2 linked regions of the Nothobranchius furzeri genome follow. The protein of the gene in region 2 interacts with the protein of the main gene of each other region in a pairwise test. Links are inferred from orthologs where the notes say so. Each region holds a gene or a part of one and is shown on either strand. Other genes may lie near its edges.

Region 1 (4,451 bases), on a different chromosome or scaffold from region 2:
CTGCTCAGTCAGCTCCACACTCTCGTAGCGGATCAGCTGCAGTCGCATGAACCCATCCTCGTGCTCTTTGTACCTGACAGGTTGATGGAAGACATCACATACAAAATACACAACAGGAACTTCTGCTGAAGCAGGAGACCAACCTGAATCTGGGGTGTCCAGAAGGCCATTTGAATTGATGCTTCTTGTGCAGATGGACGGTCAGACTGTTGCCTCTGGTGAAACACTGGCCACACACGTGACACTTGTAGCGAGCTGTAAAACTCTTCTGGTTTCAGGGAGAAAATAAAACATTATCATCTAAAATAAGAAGAATCTGTGAGAGCTTTAAAGTCTTAAACTTTCTCCTCATCAAACCCCGGTGGTGAGAACGTCTCACCCCATAAGGCTGCCAAAGTTCACCTCGTGCTCTTTTTGGTTGTGGATCTTCATGGTGCAGGACGAACGACAGGTGAAGCCACACCCGGGAACGTCACAGCGAAATGCTGGATCGCTGCTGTGGGTGTCCAGGTGTTTACGCAGGTCGATCAGATTCTTACAGCTACAAAAACAAGAGGCAGGCATCATCAGGTGGAGCTTTCACCTTAATGATCCGAGTGTGAGCAGACAAAGAAGAAGAGATACCTGTATTCGCAATAGTCACAGCTGTAGGGCTTCTCGTTGCTATGGCGAAACTTGATGTGGCTGCGCAGTGCTGAGGGCGATGGGCAGGTCATGTCACACAACGGGCATTTGTAGTGGCTCACTGTCCCAACAGGAAAAACAAACCAGTAACTTGATTACTTTTCCCACATTGAGACTACTGAAACAGAGCTGCTTTTATTTACAACTTATTAACATTCAATAAAGAGGTTGCTAGGCAGATTAATGGTGGACAGGGAGTAAAGATCACAGTTTCAAAGACTCACCGTGGGTCCTCATGTGGTCTCTCAGCAGTCGTTCTGTTGCAAAACGTTTGGAGCAGTGAGAACACTGGAATCTCTGACCTACAGCACACACACACGCACACACACACACACACAAACACACACACACATTTTATTACAAAGCTACAGAATTGTAATTTGAATCTTTCTTTTTTGAATAACGAGGTCTCAGTCCTGTGATAAAAGATGAATTAAAAAGAAGATATTTCAGATTTTAACTACAGCCTCACATTTAAATAGTGAGTTTTGGTGAAAATGATTTAAATGCTTAGTGGGCAACGGAAGTCATTACCACACAACAGTTCACTTATTTCTAAACACCAGTTAGGACTCAGGAAGAAACACGATGACAAGCTGAAGAGTTTAGAACAACTTCTGCTCATATGAATTTGATTTAAGTGTCAGTTGACCACAATACACTGGAGAGCAGAACACAAATTATTATTTCAATGTGATAGTTTTCAAGTGATTGGTCAGCTCAAACACATTGTTTCCACTATGCTGAGTCTCTCTCATTACCAAGGGAGCTCTTCAGAGCTCTGTACTGGGATCACCTTATAGAAAAAAAGTATGTAGTTGTTCTTGCTGCTCTGTTTTAGCACATGCAGTTAATCATCTACATACGCTGAATACCGGTAAGTGAGTGAGTGTGTCACTGGTCTATATGGGGCCCTGTGATGGACTGGCGACCTATCCAGGCCGATGACCACGAGAGACAGAGACCAGCTCCCCGTAAGCCTAGTGAGGATGGAGCGGTTAAGATCATGGATGTTATGTATTATACTTATTGTTTTTCTTTACGGTCTTCTTGGCCAAGCATTTTCTCGAAAACAATGACTGTAAGAAATTACCTTCCATAGCACTCTGTCGTATAATGTGGTCAAAGAATTTAGTGTTGTTGGCGTACATCCCCCCACAGCCCGGACAGGCCACCAGCTTCTCCTGGGTGTGGCTACGCAGGTGTTCCCTGAGCTTCGGACGCCCTTTAGCCGTAGCTTCACAATCTACAAAACAAGATCCCCTTTTAAGTACTGCCCTGAATAATTCTGACTGTAAATAATTATATTGAGATGTTAAATACCTTTCCATCCACAGCGTATGGAGAACTCACTGTCTCCAGTTGGGATATCTACACACACTGAGTGCATTTCCACATGGCGGTAGAACCACTCGGGGTTTTCGTAGGGAGGTTGCTTTAACAAAGACAAAAAGATAAAATAAGTTAGAAGTAAAATGTAGGAAGCTGTTTACTTTTGTGAGTCTGGAGGAAAAAGTAGGGGAAAAGTCTGGAATCAAAACAAGCAATGGATCCAAGAAAATGATCAATACGTATGAACAATTCCAAGATACTGGAAGAAGACTATTAACGGAAACTGGTTTATGAATCCCGTCTCACTTCACAATCCTCCCACAGACAGATGAAGTTATCAGGGATGTCTGGGATGATGTTGCGGTTGTGGTAGGCGATGGAGCAGCTGCCCAGCTCTGGCTGAGCATCCAGGACCTGCTGACCCAGCTGCTTCAGCTTGGTGTGGTAGCAGTGAAACAGGAGGTGTCTGCGAAGTTCTTCAAACCCATCAACAGAGCAGAACCCGCAGTCTCTCCAGGGACACATTCTGTCCTCTGGACAGAAAAAAAAACACAACAACCAGGCTGTTTAAAATCTAAACAGACATGACGTTTCAATCAGGTGGACTCACCTCCTGCTTCCACGTCCTCCTCCGTGTTCAAACACGTCAGATGTTCCTCCACATGTTTACAAAAGTTTTCCATCTGACTGGATAATTCCTGACACGAACCCCATTCACAGCTCAATTTGAGCATTTTTCTCTGAATGCGCCTTTTAGGAGGCATCTCTCGGAGTCAGTTAGCCGGAAGGCTGCGTTTGACTCCTAGCCGCTACTTCCTGCGAGCTAACTTCCACAGAGCAGAACTGAAACGCGTCTGAAACATTCAGCAGATAAAACGGGCAGAAAAAATAAATAAACTAACCTTTAAAAGCATTAAATTATCTGACAACAGGCGCTACGTGGGTAAGATGCATTATTTCTGATCGGTTACCAGACGCGCGGGTTGTGTGCAACAGCATATGATCACCGGCTGAAACACAACGTAGTTCCATCGTTCCGTGTTAATTTAGCTTATGTCTGTGAAGGTTCTCAGTCATCCAGGTCAATGTAGTCTAAGGAGCTTGAAAGAAAAGCGTCTGGACTTCTTTAAGTTGCTTGAAGAAGTTTCGCCTCTCATCCGAGAGGCTTCTTCAGTTCTAAGGTCAAATGGTGGAGAGTCCCAGATTTAAACCCAGTGGGAGTTTCCCACCGAAGAGGGAACAATGGACTCTTAAAGCGTCTTATAATCCATTTAGGTTTGAAATAGTACAGATGTTTTTAAACAAAAAAATATAAAGTCAAAGACAGACCAATGAAAAATATTGGCTTAACAGAAACGGAGACTGGTGAGAACCGTCAGAGACGACCTGAATATTACTGAAAATCTGTGGTGTGAGTTAAGGAAAGCTGGCTATGCACAGACGTCATCACACCTGGAGATGTGTTGTAAAGGAGAAGGTCCAAAACACCTTCAACCAGAAGCCAGATTCTCATTAGAAGCTATAGGAAGAGTTTAGAGGCTGCTATTTCTGCAAAAGGAGGATCTACTAAATCAGTGGTGCTCAATAGGCGGCTCGGGGGGCCACAGAGGGGCCCCCAAACCCCGTGTGCTGTCACATAGAGGGCTGGTGTAATGAACAGCCAGCAGCAGCGTGAGAGCAGCTTGTTTTTTTTCTTTTTCTTTAACTGAAACAAACCCAACGTTGAAAAGTTCTGAAACTCAAGACTCAAGACTCAAGACAACTTTATTAGTCCCCGAGGGGCAATTCGAGACAGCATTGTGAAGCAGCCGGCACTAAAATCTCTAAATTCTAAAAACACATCCAAATTACACATTTGTAAAACCCATAAAAACCTATATACACAATCATATCATAAACTCACATGTGAATGACCAACAATGATTAAAACTTTGGCTCACTCACACACACACACACACACACACACACACATGTAACTATATGCACGCACACATACAAGTAATGCACACGCCCCCTATCTGCACTGAGAATTAAGAAGAAGCACAGCTCTGGGAACAAAGGAACTTCTCCTCCTCTGTGTTTTACAGCATGGGCATCGAAAGCATTATCGATTTGTTTCTTTTTTTAAACTGTTTCTGGAATCCTTCGACTGATGCCGCCATTGAAAACAATGCTACACATTTTTTTTAAAAACTGTTCCAAATCTGTGATTTATGAGAAGACCCTTTCAACCTTCAAGCGGGCACTTTAACCACATTATCACAGAAACGGTAAGAAAAATGGGCTGCATGGTGGTGCAGTTGTTTGCACTGTTGCCTCGCAGCACAAAGATTTTCCGGATTCGAAACTCGGCTGCAGCCTTTCTGCACAGAGTTGCGTAATCTCCCCATGCCTGCGTGGGTTTCCTCCGGGTACTCCGGTTTCCCCCACAGATC
Region 2 (3,813 bases):
GGGAGACGGAGCTCTGGACTGCCAGCACCAGGTTTTTTGACTGGAGTGGATGGGGAGCCGAGTCCTTGCAGCATTTCAACCGCCTGTTTGGCCAGAGAGCTGGCCTTTGATGGGGGCTTTGGGGTGTTAGGTTGGGTGCGAGGGGACGGCTGTGTGACAGCTGGAGGACTGAAGTCTCTTGATGCAGAGGAGGAAGGCGCCGACGGCTGCTGCGGCTCCGGCACGCTTCCCTTCATCTCATTCTCCTTGTTGGAGCGAACGTTAGGCACCTCCTGGGAGGGAGTCCTCTTTTCTGGTCGCCCCTCACGTAGCCTCGCAGGAGCCTTGTCCGCCGCTTCTTTCCTGCTGCCCTCTTCTCTGTCCTTTCTGCTTCCTGGTTTTAGTGCAGACTCATTGGACCTGGACCCACGAGCATCTTTAGCTTTAACTCCACCGTTACATCCATCAGCTGTTGATGCTTCCTCTGGTTCGGACCGCTTCTCAGCTTCCGGATCTTTGTCGTGAACGCTGTACACCTGCTTGCGAGCGTTCTTTTTAACAGAATCCTTCTGCTGCATCTGTGGAGGGACAGACTGTTTCAGCGAAGTCGCTCCGGCCCGAGGAGCAGATGTACATTGGACCGGCGCTATCCTCCGTTTGGGTTTGTTGCCACCCAGAATGTTGGGTTTTGTCCTCCCGTCCTTCTCAGGCTGCTGCTCAGGTTGCGATGCAGATGTTTTTGAGGCAGCTGGGGAGGTTTCAGTTTCAGTTGCTTTAGCAGACTGTGGCTGAATTTCAGGCGACGAGGAATCAAAACACAAAATCCTCTTGTGGCTGGAACTTTTCGTTGCATCCTGCTGGCGCGACTTTTCACCCTGAACCACGGCTGCCACCCTTTTATCAGCTCCTGGAACCACAGGTCATCAGAGTCAGACGTTGAGTTGAAAGGGCTGCTGCGGTTTCATCAGTAACTCACCTGAAGCTGGTTTGGTTGCCACTGTGGTGGGACTGGATTCTTTCTGCTGTACTGGTGCAGGGTTTGATGGGTCAACAAGCTGCAAATCCAACAATGAGCCGAAGCATCAACAAAATGATCGACGTCCGTTTCTAACCGTAAACAATAACGTAGGCTTACCTGGAGCTGTGTTCCTGCTGCGCTCTGCCCCAACACAGAAACAGGAAGCACCACAGGCTTCATGGGTGATGGGAGGATAAATGCTGAGCCTGCACAAAACAAAAAGACATTTTATTCTAATAACTCTAATCACATAAAAGTTGTGAAAAATACCCTAACAATTCTATCCATAAAGGACAACACATATGTGATCCCTCTCCCGCAGCATGGACTTAACTTCCTTTATTAATCTATGAACACCCTTTCCCCCTTTTTGGTACAAAAATATCCCGTATAAATGATCAAATACGCTTTATTACTATAAAAAACACTTATCTCTAATTATCTGCAGTTTGCTTTCCTATAAGACTATTTTTGCAACATAAATATCTTAATTAAATCCTAGATTATTTTATTTCAAATTAAAATCACAGATAAATTTAATGCAACACATAAATAATAAAATAATTTCTTTGTTGCAAATGACATTTTTATCCTGTCAGGATAAACTTTCTCTGAAACCACAAGTTTTAATTGTAACTTGTTGCACATAAAAACAACACCTGCGCACCGTTTCCTAACATCAATCACTGTTACGTCAGACAAACTAGAGGTAGTTCGAGTCTATTCAGGAACAGCTGAAGTCTTGCTCTCACCTGTGGAGAAGCTTTGAGGGTATATGGGCGTCGTCCCCCTGTGCTGATTGGCAGGTAAAGGTGAGCCATGTGAGACACCAGCAGGAAGTAGCACCTGTCTGGGCTGAACATCTGTAGTTGGAGTCAAAAGGTAAAAGCTGGCAGCAGCGGCTTGCAATCCGGGGCTGGCGGCGTCCACGGGAAGCTGAACTATAAATCTCTGCTGGTTCTGAGGTGTCCCGACGAACGGAGCGGTGTTGACTGCTGCAGCTTTACAGCTGAGAGGAGTGCCACATGCCTCTGAGCTTTGCAGGCCACTCACAGCCTGCGCCACCTCATCATAGTTGGCTTTTGGAGTGGCGGGGCACTCGGGGGACTTGGCTGGGGAGGAAAGGTAGATGGTGGGTATCTTGTCCCCAGAAATGCTGGAGATAGCCCGACTCAAGGCTGCGTCGCTGGAAGCATCCTCATCCTGGCTGTCACTCACGATGATCTTTAAGGACACCATGTTGCTGGAGTCTGTCGCCATGCATAAGGTGGAGGGGTGGGTGGCTGAGGGAGTGGGCGTCGCTGCAACCGGAGCACAGGAGAATGCAGGTGAGAGAGGAGTTGCTGAGGTGGATGAGGCTGGTGCAAGGATGGGAGCCGATGATGATGGCGAGGTAACTGTGACTGAAACAGCTGTAGCAGGGACAGATGATGCAGCCAGTGTGTTTTCAGTGGCTGAACCTGATGGACGAGGCGTGCAACCAGCCACTGAACTAAAAAAATCAGGCTGATCCATCACAGGAAAAGAAATTATTTTAGACAGTTGCTCATTTGATGTTTTGTTTACATTTGAGGCATCTGTAAATGTGGTGGGACCGTCGGCTGAAGGCACGGGGACCGATTTACCCAGACAAGAGGCGGTGGAGGTGCTGGTGTGCTCCTGAGAAACCAGACTGTCTAAAGGAGGGGGAGGAGGTGTGTGCAGCGGTTCATCAATATCCATTTGTGTTACACCCCCACTATCAATCAGAAGATTAGGTTTTTCTTTCCTCCCGGAGTTCAGTGCAGCAGATGTGGCCCCTTGGGGGTCCCCGTGAGTCACCAATAGTCTGGCAGAGCTGTTCTCAATCCTGGAAGCCCGGCCGCCGGAGTCCAGGACAGTTTTTTTCACTACAGTGGACACGGTGGACTTCCTGGTCTTACGCTCTGGAGCAGCCCTGATCTCCGGAGCAGCCCTGACCTTTAAAGCAGCTGGCTGGATGCCAGACACACTGGCGTCAACATGTGTTGGACCTGAAAAACAAATAACAGTGATACAAATTTGAGATTCTGTCTACAAAATCATAATCGGATCACTTCTTAAAGCCTTAAGCAGACAGAAAAGAATGCTTTCTAATAGGCTGCTGCAGCTCCATGGCAACAAATCCCTTTAACTTTATTTGTATGGCTCATTTTAAAACACAAATATAAATCAAAACACTTAAAGACAAAAATACCCTCAACATGACTCTGAAGGGGCTGGACAGCAGATGAAGCTTGAGCTGCCTCATCCAGACTACTGCCCGTGTGTCCATCAACTGCTTCCTCATCAGGTGATTTAGTTTTATCTGCAAATGTAAAATCATTTCATCAACTTTAACAGAGCCTTCCCAGGACTCGGAATAAATAGATGTAGATTATAGTTACTGTAATCAAAGAGGTCAAAGAGGGCCTGAAACGCTGGATCGGACTCTGTTTGCTCCAAAATGTCATGAATGGCGTCATCACTCATATGGATTTCCCCCTGATAAAAAGATACACACTTAAATAAGTTTAGCATCACACAAATAGGATCAAAAATACTATTCTAGGCCATTTTGGCACCTGAAGTCCCAGAATTTCATCTATAGACTGCTCGGCCTCCACCGTGCTCACAGAGGCTTTGGATGTTGGAGGAGTGGGTTCGCTGGTAGCAGAGGTCAAACACAGAGAGAATTAATCAGATAAAATCTACTTCCATCCACACATAACTGTTACAAAATTAAATTAAAATCACGTAAATAAGTCAGGAGTTATTTCAGAGGGAATTCTGACGTTCCCGTCTTGCATAAGGCGTAG

The links.
Region 1: the proteins of npat (region 2) and hinfp interact in a two-hybrid assay, tested with the Homo sapiens proteins (2 studies listed by BioGRID). The link is inferred for Nothobranchius furzeri from reciprocal best matches to the Homo sapiens genes NPAT and HINFP.

The regions. Positions count from the first base shown.
Region 1 is NC_091750.1:47,350,831-47,355,281, forward strand, and holds the start of hinfp (histone H4 transcription factor), read right to left. Parts: upstream 2,914-4,451; 5' UTR 2,781-2,913; coding exon 2,627-2,780; intron 2,550-2,626; coding exon 2,323-2,549; intron 2,120-2,322; coding exon 2,008-2,119; intron 1,931-2,007; coding exon 1,778-1,930; intron 987-1,777; coding exon 909-986; intron 746-908; coding exon 625-745; intron 542-624; coding exon 403-541; intron 269-402; coding exon 144-268; intron 74-143; coding exon 1-73. UniProt on the Homo sapiens protein: Transcriptional repressor that binds to the consensus sequence 5'-CGGACGTT-3' and to the RB1 promoter. Transcriptional activator that promotes histone H4 gene transcription at the G1/S phase transition in conjunction with NPAT.
Region 2 is NC_091753.1:29,162,279-29,166,091, reverse strand, and holds part of npat (protein NPAT), read right to left. Parts: intron 3,662-3,813; coding exon 3,580-3,661; intron 3,500-3,579; coding exon 3,403-3,499; intron 3,324-3,402; coding exon 3,213-3,323; intron 3,010-3,212; coding exon 1,750-3,009; intron 1,204-1,749; coding exon 1,115-1,203; intron 1,035-1,114; coding exon 956-1,034; intron 887-955; coding exon 1-886. UniProt on the Homo sapiens protein: Required for progression through the G1 and S phases of the cell cycle and for S phase entry. Activates transcription of the histone H2A, histone H2B, histone H3 and histone H4 genes in conjunction with MIZF.